Rattus norvegicus: one gene and its partners. The protein of the gene in region 3 purifies or fractionates together with the protein of the main gene of each other region. This does not show direct contact. Links are inferred from orthologs where the notes say so. Each region holds a gene or a part of one and is shown on either strand. Other genes may lie near its edges.

Evidence for each region.
Region 1: the proteins of Pml (region 3) and Zfyve9 purify together in Homo sapiens (affinity purification with western blotting; 3 studies listed by BioGRID and IntAct, with this or other methods). This does not show direct contact. The link is inferred for Rattus norvegicus from reciprocal best matches to the Homo sapiens genes PML and ZFYVE9.
Region 2: the proteins of Pml (region 3) and Zmym2 purify together in Homo sapiens (affinity purification with western blotting; 3 studies listed by BioGRID, with this or other methods). This does not show direct contact. The link is inferred for Rattus norvegicus from reciprocal best matches to the Homo sapiens genes PML and ZMYM2.

The regions. Positions count from the first base shown.
Region 1 is NC_086023.1:128,660,354-128,664,539, forward strand, and holds part of Zfyve9 (zinc finger FYVE domain-containing protein 9), read right to left. Parts: intron 2,576-4,186; coding exon 2,453-2,575; intron 27-2,452; coding exon 1-26. UniProt on the Homo sapiens protein: Early endosomal protein that functions to recruit SMAD2/SMAD3 to intracellular membranes and to the TGF-beta receptor.
Region 2 is NC_086033.1:35,206,785-35,210,970, forward strand, and holds part of Zmym2 (zinc finger MYM-type protein 2), read left to right. Parts: intron 1-1,959; coding exon 1,960-2,085; intron 2,086-3,545; coding exon 3,546-3,640; intron 3,641-4,186. UniProt on the Homo sapiens protein: Involved in the negative regulation of transcription.
Region 3 is NC_086026.1:67,533,971-67,538,156, forward strand, and holds part of Pml (PML nuclear body scaffold), read right to left. Parts: intron 3,063-4,186; coding exon 2,925-3,062; intron 2,507-2,924; coding exon 2,248-2,506; intron 1,827-2,247; coding exon 1,774-1,826; intron 1-1,773.

The DNA of each region.
Region 1 (4,186 bases), on a different chromosome or scaffold from region 3:
AAAACACCAGCACTTCCTGTTCACATCTAAAGGGGAAATAAAAATATATTATTCTTAATAATTGACCATAAAAGGATGCAAAGAAATCTGTTACAATACAGCAAAAAAGACAAAAGAAAAGAAAAAGAAAAAAGAAAGAGAGAAAAAGAAAGATCATGTCAGTTCATATGATTCAACTTTAATTTAAAATGGTCACTACATGAACAAGAATCACTGTAGAAAACAAAACATGGCAATGCTTTGTTTGCTTTTTCCTCAATGCTTAGGAAAATAACTGGAAGGAAGTTAAAAGAAATAAAAAAATGAAAATATATTTAAGACTTAAATAGACAACAAAGATAGAGTCTTCCATATTACTATTTAAAAACAAACCACTTTTCCTGGGAGTTGAGAAGACAGCTCAGTGAGGAAAGCACTTGCTGTATGAGCTTGAGGACTGGAGTTCAGATCCCAGCACTCACATAAGAAGCCGGCCTTACGCAATGGCACCTGCCAGTCACCTTAGTACAGGATGGCCCCAGGACACTGGTGAGCCAAGCCTGTGTAGATGACTAGTAAGCTCCAGGTCTTGGTCTGTCTCTGTTTCTCCCCCCCCCACCTCAAAAAATAAAGGTGGACAGCAATACAATACACAAACAGACCTTCCGCTGGCCTCCGCCTTCATAGGCACATGTGTGGCTATGTTCACCTACATGCACATCTCACCCATACACAAAACTCACTTTACCATTATTTATGTAAGACTAGGAACAAAAAGAATAAAACTCGGTATTTTAGCTTTGAGTTCAGGTTCTGGCCAAAAGAAAATACATTCTTATGTACTAGCTAGCTTAATTACAATCCTTTCTGAGAGAAAGAAAATACTAGATAATCAGAAGGCAACTTGATTTGGTTGTACACTATACAAAGTATAGCTTGTCAAGACTACTTTTACTTTTTCACTTTAGGTTAGAAAGGGTTAAAAAAATCCACAAGAAAAAGATATTTTTTTTTGTACATACAGCAATATCAGTCCATCCTCGACACATTATTGTTTGCAATCTAACAACAGGATTTCCAAAGAAATCAAATAAGAGAATGAATAAGACCACTATGTGTTTCAAAACTAATAAAAGATCCTTTTCTTTTTGAATGGAAATCACTACTTTGGGTACCTAATTAGGAAGTACCTAGTCCTATTCATGCACACATATACACATGTCCATGTGCCACAGAGATGGTGGGTTTCTTCAATTGCTTTCCCCCTTATTTCCTGAGACAGGTTCTCTCAGTGAACATAAAGCTTGACAATTTGGGTGGAGTGGACGGTCAGAAATCCTCAAATTCCCATATCTGCTTCTTCAATGTTGGGATTGCAGACACATGCTGGTTCACCTGGTCTCTTCTTCCTCCTCCTCTTTGTTTTGTCTGTTTGTTGGTTGGTTGAGTTTTGTTTTTGTTTTTGTTTTTTTTACTGTGGGTGCCGGGATCAAACCCAGGTTTTCCTGCTTGCATGGCAAACACTTTACCAACTAAGACAGTTGCCAGCCCTTCAATTAGCCCACTATTTTAAGGTGCTTCAGAACTATAGGCTAGTTAATTTCTCTCTTTTTTGTTCCACAATCATTTAATGAGTAACTTCTATGGCAAAATGCTGTACTAGGTAAAAGCAGTGGATGACTTCTGTCCTCACATGGAGAGGTTAGCTAATTTCTAATTGTAACTTATAAACTGGATGTAGTACACTGAAATATCACATAAGCAAACAATACATGATATGAGCTGGGGTGGAACGTGGATAACAGTAACAATAGGCCAAATATATAAAGGTGCAGTTAATTAATGACTGAGGCTGAGACCTCCACTTCATCAATGGAGGATGTCTAGAGAAGCAGTGCAGAGCTGTTTCTGGTTTCTAAGGTCAAGTGGAAACTGGGGGACATTCCCTGCAAGCTGCCTCTTACTTTCTAATACATACCAGAAAGAATCAAGATTTAATTCACTGTCTTCTTTCTTACACTGATGCCCATGCTTCCAGCACCAAGAATTTGTTTCTTCTGATAAGTTAGTTTCGCAGTTTGAGTATATATTATGTAGTTTACATTTTTTACCACATAATATTCTGCACATAAGATGATTAAAGCTTCTGGATCTTAAGATCTACTAAGAACTACTGTTTGCTGCCCTGGATAACTTACTCACAATTATTCTAGTCATTAGTTGTGACTTAACATCCCCATATCACTGCAAAACTTATTTGACTTCCCTCCAGGGAGAATTCACCAGTCTCATCTCTGTGACCAAAGGTAAGAGGTTCAGTTAGCATCACCACTGTCTATTTTATAAGAACCAACTCTCTCAGAACTGCTTCCAGTAGGATGTGATTATATATTAAAATATTTTTGTGTGAAGATTATAAAGGCTCTAAAAAGTATGTGTTGAAATTATTTTTAATTAAAAAATTCTAACTTACAATTTACAATTTTAACCATTGACAATAAATTTGCATTTAAAACAAACACAAGTGGGTCAGGGCCACCATCCTCCAGTTGCTGCATGACTGAAATCTGTGATGGTTTCTCTTCCACAGCATAATCTGAAAGAGAGAAAAACATTGTAATGGATTGACTAAAGGGACAAACTGAGTAAGAAATCTGGTGTAGAATGTGATGACTAGTTACAGGAAAGGGTTGCACAGGTCAGGGTTTGTCCCACACTCCCTGCATGGTAATAGTGCTTCTTTTGCCACGGTTAGAATGAAAATAAGGCTGTCCTATATAAACCTCCCCACAAAACGGTTTGTTTCACATCTGCTCTACATCTTTATTTAACAAAAAGATTCAACTATTTTAACAGAAATGTCACAGAACAAATGCTTTAAGACCAACCTTTAAAATAATCAAAAATATATTACAAGGTGATTATATATTAAGACTTCCTATGGAAAGGATGTCAAGAAATTGGAACAGAGGGAGCCTGATTTTTAATTCTATGCTTTTATACTGTTTAATATTTTTGACCCTTAAGAAGCATTAGACTTTTTTTTAACTCACTAAAAAATATAATTTACTGTTTTCTTGAAATAATTTCTCTAAATCTGAGAACTTACATACAGATCACTGAAATCATTAGTAAGCCACACCTGAGACAGTGAACACAGACAAGACTCCTCCCCTAGTCCTGCAAGCACATACTGTACTACTTGACCACTTCATTCTTAATGGTGTTCATTTCAGTATAAAGTCAAAATCATGACCAATAATCAGAGACTCTAACTTAAAAATAAAGAAAAGAAATTAAAAATTGAAATTTCAGTGCTGTTCTCATAAAGTATATCATAAAGGGATAGCCAAGAGGAAAAAAATGATACCATTTTTCACTGATTAAAAGAAATAAAAATTGGGCTGGAGAGATGGCTCAGCGGTTAAGAGCACTGACTGCTCTTCCAGAGGTCCTGAGTTCAAATCCCAGCAACCACATGGTGGCCCACAACCATCTGTAATGGGATCTGATGCCCTCTTCTGGTGTGTCTAAAGACAGCTACAGTGTATTCATATAAATAAAATAAATCTTAAAAAAAAAAGAAATAAAAATTGATTTTTTGACCTTTCTATCAATCAAAATATGTTTGAAAGAAAAATATGAAGTGACTTAATTTTTTAAAATAAGTTAACCTAGTAAAATAAAAAATGCAAAATTCAAGTGAAGAGATTATAATATCAAAACAGAGCCTAGCAATATGACTTTCTTTTAATAATAAACTATATAATTCTTTATTAAACTATGACTTATTAAAATAGCTGGGTGTGGTGGCACACGTCCATGGGAGGGTAAACCATGCCAGGAAGCTTGCTAAGGTAGAGTGGGTCTGAGATCTGGAGACGCAGTGGGCACACTCCTGAGATGGCAGGATAGGAACACACGTCACACTCCTCACATAGGGAAACATGACCTGTGGTCATGTCGGCCCAGAACAGAGTTTTCTATGCCGATTAGGTATAACACATAACTTTCATGGGATGAGCCCAAGGAAGAAGCAGCGTTTAGAAACATGAATCAAGACCTAATGACTTCATGGTCAAAGTGAAAGCATCAGACTTAGTTTATCCACAACAAATGAGAAAAGTGTTTATACACACAAAGAATAACAGAATAGAGAAAAAAAGCAAAGTGTTACTTTGCAGGCATTCTAGGAAAAGACAGAGAT
Region 2 (4,186 bases), on a different chromosome or scaffold from region 3:
CTCTTCTGGCCTTCACAGGCATAAGACATGCAAGTGGTGCACAGATATACATACATGTACAATACCTGTACACATAAAACAACACAATTTTTTAATAAAGAGGAATACACACTCCAACTTGAACCAGGTTTGCTCTAATGCTAAGCTTGATCTCTAGTGGAATATTTTGTTTTATTTTGAGATGGAGACTTAGAATGTGTCCGAGGCAATAAACTCTTGGCCTCAAGAAGTCTTCAGTGTCATCTTCTGAAGTAGATAAGATTACCTTTTCTTAGAAACAAAAGTTGGGTGGGTTTGTTTGTTTGTTTGTTTTGGTAAGATTTCTTTATGTGTTTGAGAGTTGCATGTGTGTATGCCTGGCACTTGTGGAGTTCAGAAGATAGAGCATTATATCCTTTGAAAATGGAGTTATAGATTATGAGCCACCATGTAAGGGCTGGGAACTGAACTTTGGTCCTTTGCAAGAGCAGCCATTGCTTCTAATTCACTCACTCCCTATTTTTTTATTTTGTTTTGTTTTAATAGTAATAGGATTTGAATTCAGTTCAGTTATTTTTCTTAGGTTTCTAAGATTTTATTTTGTGATCGTTATTTCTAGTAATATTTTATTTTTTATACTAATCAAATATAATTTGCTTTATTATATTTATATTATATTTATCTAAACCAGAATTTTTCCTACTTTCTTTTAGGACACTGCTACATAGTGGTGTGATTTAATATGAGTGTTTTGTTGGGCAACTCTGTCCTTTTGAACATTTATTCCTTCCTATCCGTAGTCTTCTGGTAATATTTAGAATCCATTTTTAGTCCTGAACTGTCTAATTGCTTTTATACCAGAAGAAAAGTGTAGAAGTTGTTTTGCAGTATTCTCAGAGGTTGTCAAATGAAGTGGATTGTACTTAGTGGTATGATTTTTGTTGTTGTTTGTTTGTTTGTTTGTTTTTTGAGACAGGGTTTCTTTGTCTAATCTTGGCTGTCCTGGAATTAGTGCTGTAGACTAGGCTGGCCTGGATCTCATAGAGATCCCTTTGTCTCTACTTCCCAAGTGCTGGGGTTAGAGGCATGTGCCACCACCACCTAGTGTGGTGTTCATTTTTAATTAAGAATAAAATACAGACACCCACTTAGTCCCTGCGCTCAGGTGTTGGAACGTGAGTTCTAGGTGTGTCCAGTATATGACACTACATACCTCATGGGAAAAAGAATGGGAAGCCATGTCTGAATCCTTCAGAGAAGAGTTAGGTGGGTTTGTGAACGCCTTTGTTTCCTAATTATATACGTTTGTCTTAATTTCTGTCTGGAGACCTATTGTCATTCTAGTATATATTAGATAGAATGCATTTATAACTACGGCAAAACAGTTAAACAGTTCATCGAAACATATGGTAGCTATTAACAAGCATATACTAAGTATGTGTAAACTTGGTCAAAATTCAAAAATACTGTTTGAAAACCATAGTTGTTTATTTCCATAAGTTTATTTCTGATAAAGAATTGTTTTATGAATATTGACATGGGGAAATGGCCCACTCAGTAAAGTGCCTGCCATATAAGAATGAGATGAGAACCTGAATTTGGATCCTCCGAACCTATTTAAAAGATCAGGCACAGTGGCTTGTGTCTAACCCTAGTGTGAATTGACAGATTAGGAAGGGAAGATGGATCCATCAAACAAAGAAAAACACAGGACTCTGGTCAGCCTCTGGTCTCCACATGCATTCCTGTCTGGAAGCACTTACATCACACTGGCAAGTAATGTATGTGTCCTCCCCACCCCCACCACACACACACACACACACACACACACACACACACACACACACACACACACACACACACACACGGGAGTTGTTTTATATTAACTTTTCTACTTTTTCCTTTGGGAGCTTAAGTACAGATACTATTAAGTTTTTTTTTTTTAATTTGATTTCTAATGATATTATTGCTTGGTTACAGGTGTAATTATTGAGACAGACATAATTGGCTCAGATCTTACAAAGAACTCTGACTCAGATATACAATCCAACATGCCCGATGTACCATATGAACCAGATTTGGATATTGAAATAGATTTCCCCAGAGGTACTTAAATACTACTTTATCATTATTAAATCAAGTTATATGGTTGTATTTAAGGTAATTGATCAACAGTGTTAGTAAAATTACCTCTTATCCTCATAATTGTTTCTTTTTTCCGTGTGTCCTTTGTAGTGGAGGATGCTGCATGTACTTTTCCACTTAGCTACATTCTTCCTCCTTTTCTTTTTTATTTCTCCAAATAAAACTGAATTAATTGCAGGAACTTTAGAAACTAGAGAAGAATACAATACTTGTATTTTTTCAATTCAGAGGTATTGATAGTATTAGCGTAGAGGTAGGAATCATGATAGGGTTTTGCTATATAATTCAGACTGGCCCCCAACTCAAAGCATGCCTTCTCCCAGCCTCTCATGCTGGGATTATAGGTACGTGTCAAATGTATAGCTTGGTAGCATTTTTCTTAATGTTCTTGAAAGTTAAATTCATATTTAAAGGAAAAGAAATACATTTACTTCTTTAACAGATGTATGCTCAGGGCTGGAGAGATGGCTCAGTGGTTAAGAGCACTGACTGCTCTTCCAGAGGTCCTGAGTTCAAATCCCAGCAACCACATGGTGGCTCACAACCATCTGTAATCAGATCTGATGCCCTCTTCTGGTGTGTCTGAGGACAGTGGCAGTGCACTCATACATAAAGTAAATCTTTAAAATAAAAAAAGAGAGCGACACGCTCCCTTTCGCTGCTGGTTAGTGCAGATGAAGTGTAGACGTCTTCCGTCTCATACATAAAGTAAATCTTTAAAATAAAAAAAGAGAGCGACACGCTCCCTTTCGCTGCTGGTTAGTGCAGATGAAGTGTAGACGTCTTCCGTCTCGTCCGTCCGGATAGCTTGGCATGCTCTACAGTCCCAGCCCTGGGAGACGGGGGCAGAACTTAAGTTAAGGGCAGCTACTGTCAGGTTGTGAGGTCAGTCTGATTTAATTAATAAGGGTCCGTCTCAAAAAAGACAAGTGTTTGAAAGCCTTGTGATAGTACATTCCTGCAGTCCTGTTGCTAAGGTAGGAGGGTTGTGAAGTGTAGACTCTGTAAAGTAGGTTCCAGGCCACAGACAGACAAATGTGTTCCTGTTCTCATTTTCCCCTAATTTATAAATTCCTACTGAATGAAGTGTAAAGCATTCTACGAAAAAGACAAGAGATTGAACAAGATTGGCACTTTTAGATCTTCTAACTAGTTTTATAGTTGTTTTCCTTTTTCTAGTATCATACAGTTCTGTGATGCTTCTGTACTGATTGATACTTGCTACATTTGGTTTTTAGTTTATCAAATAGTTTAGCAAAACTCAACACCATGTTAAGTATGAGTCTCCCTGTGCCTCGCCTCGCTGAGACTTACCCCATGTCTGGATGATCCTTCATGTCACGGGACTCTTTATTGGCCGTGTTTATGTAGCAGAATCTTGTACTGTTATATTTGAAGTAAGATATTTTCTAATTTGTCAGCTGCAGAGGAACTTGATATGGAAAATGAGTTTTTATTACCACCAGTTTTTGGGGAAGAATATGAGGAGCAGCCCAGACCTCGATCTAAAAAAAAGGTATAGAATTTGTTAATGTTTTATATTTTTTATTCATTTAACATCGCTGTAGCAGCATGTCAGAGAAAGATGCTTTGGGGATATCTTGGGCCTGACAATATGGGGAGATAGATATTAAATTCATCTTAATATAATGTCAAAATGGAAAATAGTTGACATAAAAAGAAAATTCAACTCAGACAATAACAAAGATTATTTTCTGAGTGAGCATGGTGGCACATAGCTATAACCACTGCATTTGTCTCAATGGAAAGGAGAAAGGAGAAGGGGTTGGTGATTTTCAGTGGATTAAATTTCTCATCAGTTTGGATGAGGTTAATTAATGAAGAGAGATGTAGTTTATTTTTAAGCATGCCAACACAGAGAGGAAGACATTTGGGGAACTAGGGATGCAGCTCAGTTGGTAGAATGTTTGCCTACTGTGTAGGAGGCCCTGGACTGGAGGCCCTGGATTTGATTCCCAGCTCTGTATAAACTGGGTGTAATTCTAGCCAGAGAGGCTATAGGATCAGCAGTTCATAGCCCGCTTGAAATAAATGTTACACT
Region 3 (4,186 bases):
TTGGGGATTCTCCAGGGGGCCTTGGTTAGAATCTCTGGGGTGGGGACCTGCTTCCTGAGCACCACCCATGGAAGAAGCATTGGTCTGAGAAGCCATGGAAAAGTAAGGGAGAAAAAGTAAATTGCAAAGTCACTAGTGAAGACTGGTGGAGCCCTGGAGGGAGTATCGAAGGGACTGGAAGGTTCTGTGCGTCGAGCAGAATGTGTTGATATGGCATATGGCATCTGTGTATGGGCATTAGCAGGATGCCTGGGAAGCCCTATGTAGCAGGAGTGGTGGCCTGAACTATAAGAGGAGGCCTGTGTCAGGGTACAATACCCCTGGAGGACAGGCTACCAAAGGTGTGATGAAGGCAGGTGGCTCTCCTTGCTTTGTGTGAGAAAATGCAGATCTGAGAACAGCAGCACACTTCTGGCAAGTGGTAGGCTGGCTGGAAGACTCAGTCAGAGCTTGCTCAGTAGGATGATGGGAGGACCAACTCGGTGGGTGGCAGGTACCTTGGTGTAGACTACAGGTTCTGCTGGGGTGGGGGGTCCAACATAGCTGGGAGGGTCTTCAGGTACTTAGCAGGGAGATGTGTGCTGGTAAAGAGGGTTCTGTACACTCTCCAATACAGGATCTCAGACTGTGAGCTTGGGGACCATAGGGACCTCCAGTCTAACCTCTTACTCTTCTCATGCTCTGCTTTCTCTGGACACTTAACAGCCTAGTTTCTGATGACATACATGCCTCCAGGTACAGAACAGTCACTGGTTTCATTATAAGATGCCTTCAAAGAAGTTTTCTAATATGAGGTAAGATCTTGCATAGAGCGTCTCTGGTGGTTTGAATGAGGATGTTCCCCATAAGCTCATATGTTTGAATCCTTGGACTCTAGTCGGTGGAACTGTTTGGAAAGGATTAGGAGGTGTGGCCTTGTTGGAGTTAGGTGGGTCACTGGGAGTGGACTTTGAGGTTTCAAAAGTCTACGTCATTCCCAGTTAGCAGCTCTCTCTGTAACTTGTGTTTGTGGGTCAGACGTGAGTTCTTGGCTCTGGCTCTGGCTCCGGGTCCGGCACCAGCATGATGCCTGTTGCCTGCTGCTAAGCTCCTTGTCATGATGAGCATAGACTGACCCTCTAAAACTACAAAGCCAAACAAGCTCTCTCTACTCTAAGATGCCTTTGCATCGGTGTCTCTCCGCAGCAACAGAAAAGTAAACAAGGCATCTCTTATCCATTGTTTGATACCCATAGGTACACTCTACCTATCACTAACCTTCACTGACCGACTTTGTGGTTGCTTTTCAGTCAGAATCCCTCTACACAGCCCTGGGTTTCCTGGAACTCACTCTATAGACCAGGCTGGCCTTGAACTCGCAGAGATCCATACCTGCCTCTGCTTCCCAAGTGTTGGAATTAAAGGTGTGTGTCACCACGATGCCTGGGAATGAACTCTTGTCCAGCTTTCCTCATGGAGTACTTGGCAGATAGAAAATACACAAGGAAGCTCTAGAGAAGGGCTTTGGATATTACAGAGGATAGCCAAGGCCTGGAGCAAGCAGCCCAGCAAGCATCACAGAGGTGTTCTTGCCTGGTGCAGGAAGAGGACCAGGATGCAATAAGCACGCAGCTAGTGCCTGCAAATGGTCCTGGCTATGACTTAGGCTTTATTGCCTTGCTGGGGAACTTCCCAGCTGCCAGGTGAGCCTGAGAGTCACCTGCTGTGGCTGTGGCCTTTGGGACCTTGAACAAGGGGAGGCAGAAGTCCTAGGCTGAACTCCGAGTTACTCACCAGATTCTCGGCATCTGAGTCCTCTGAGCTGCTGATCACTACGATTCGCTCCTCTGAAATGGACAGGGGGAGGCAGCATTAAATCCTTCCTGGGATGTCCACTGGCTGGGGTAAGACAGCCAGGAGAATCCTTGTAAGCCAATGGGCTGGGGATGATGGATGCCCTGTCCTGTGTGCATTAGGAGGAGATGGAGTGTTTATGTCCCCAGAGTGCAGAGATTGGCACTGGCAGTTTTAGAGGGAAGGAGGCAGAGCTAAGGCCCCTCGGGTGCCTCACACTGGAACCATAGCAAAGTACAGGGTAAACTACGGTGCCATACTCAGTGGCTGCTCAGAGCAACTCAGACACGGGAGTCCTGGTGGCTTTGAGTGTCCAGGTGGGATTGGAATGAGGAGCTGGGGCCTGGGGTGCTCCAGATGTCTGAGGGCAGTATGACGATCCTACACAGGTATTCCCCTGCCTAATCCTCTTACCTGTTTCCCCTGCATCACTGGCCACATGGTTGTTGTTGGGCAGGGGTGTCTCTTTTTCAGGGATGGTGCTCTCAGTGCTGGAAGTCCCATCCGGATGGGGAGGTGAGATGGCCTTGGAAGTGCTGGGCCTAGGCTGCTCAGGGGAGCTTGTCGACAACCTGTCCTCGTTCTCATCCGTGGACTCCATCTTGATAATCTTTCTGCAGCAATCTATGTGGCAGCACTTCCTCTTCATGGGGCTGACTGTCTGAGAGGCCTCCTGAGGAGCGGGGAGTTAGAGAGGTGACTCAGGTGCCTCTGATGTCGCTGGGCTGAGACACTGAACTGAGCACCAGGAGTCTGTGGCACGTTTTCGCTCCCGTTCTTTTGGGCATGCTGAGCACGTGTCTGCAAACAGGAGGCCCTCTCAGGTTGCCATGCACACTGGTCATGGCCGCTGACCAACAGTCTCAGTTGATCGGACTCATAGCTTTGGCTGTCTCAGCATCCCAGCTGGGCTGAGAGTGGCTCAAGCTTATTTCGAGTTTCGGGGGGGGGGGGGCGGCACAGCCCAGAGCAACGGAGAATGTGGAGCAAATAAAGACCTTAGAAAGGCCCAGATTCTTATAAGATTACACCTCACTGTTGGCAGGAGTCTAGGCCTTTTAGATGGAGGCAGGGTTGAATAGGGGGCTTACCTCTCTGTACGTGGGGCCTTGCATAGAGAAGGCATACACTGGTACAGGGTGTGCTCCAGGTACTGATTTTACCATAGCCACAGGTTGGGTCTTAGACAGCTCCATGGCCTGAGCCTGTGCCCTCTGCACTTCCTTGGGCTGTAAAATCAGGTAACAAGGAAGTTAGAAATGACTAGTGACCCTAGGCCTACCACCTGCCTCAGGTTTAAGTAACTTGGTCCCAATCGAAGAGTGCACTGGGACAAGTAGTTCTTCCCAAACCCACCATGATGTCACAGCCTTCTGACCTTGGGTTGCTGGTACCCAGGCACCACTTCAATCTGCATGTGTCCTGACAGGGCAGGAAGCTACCTCAGGGACCACAGTGCCCAGTTCCTCAGAACATGCTTCACAACCAGCCTAGCTTGTGTGCCTCTGGAGACCAGCTGCTTGCTGTTGAAAGTGACACTTCCCTGAGCAGTGATACAGTGGCAGCGGTGAGGAACTCGGAAGCCAGCCTCCAAGGAGCGTGCCTTACCCCTGAGTCTTAACTCTATCGAGCAGCTGATACACAAGCTGGAATTACTTAAAACTCACTGGGCCTCAGTCTCCCTCCATGAAATGGAATAATAACACTCGCTTCATATGGCAATAAGGATGAAATATGCCAAATGCCATCATCGTGCCTAGAAGAGCATCTAGTACTTACAGAGACCCATGAGTGAGGGTGATGAGGATGGCTAGTGAATACTAGTTTGATTACCATCCCATGTCAGACTTGGTGTTCAGGGCTTTGTGTCTCTGTCTCTAAATGAAGCAGGAGCAGCTCCTCAAATAGTGAAAAGGAGCTGGAGAGATGGTTCAGTGGTTAAGAACATTGGCTGCTCTTGCAAAGGAGCTGGGTTCGATTCTCAGAACCCACAGGACAGCTCATAACCATCTTTTACCCCAGGATTAGGGGACCAGACACCCTCTTCTGGTCTCTGCAGGTATTGCATGCATATGGTACACTTAACATGCAAGCAAAACACTCATATACATAAAATAAAAGTGAATAAATCTTCTTTTTTAATGAAAGAATTACCACACGGCTTACCAATTCTACTCCTAGGTACTACCTCAAAAGTATGGAAGTTAGATGTTCAACTGCAAACTGTGTGTGGGGCTGGGCAGGAAGCCCAGTGGTAAAGCACGGCCTCCCACGTTCCAAGGCCCGGATATTCCATCCTCAGAACAGGAGGCAGACAGCTTAACCATCTTATCTTTGCCTTTATGGCTCTGCA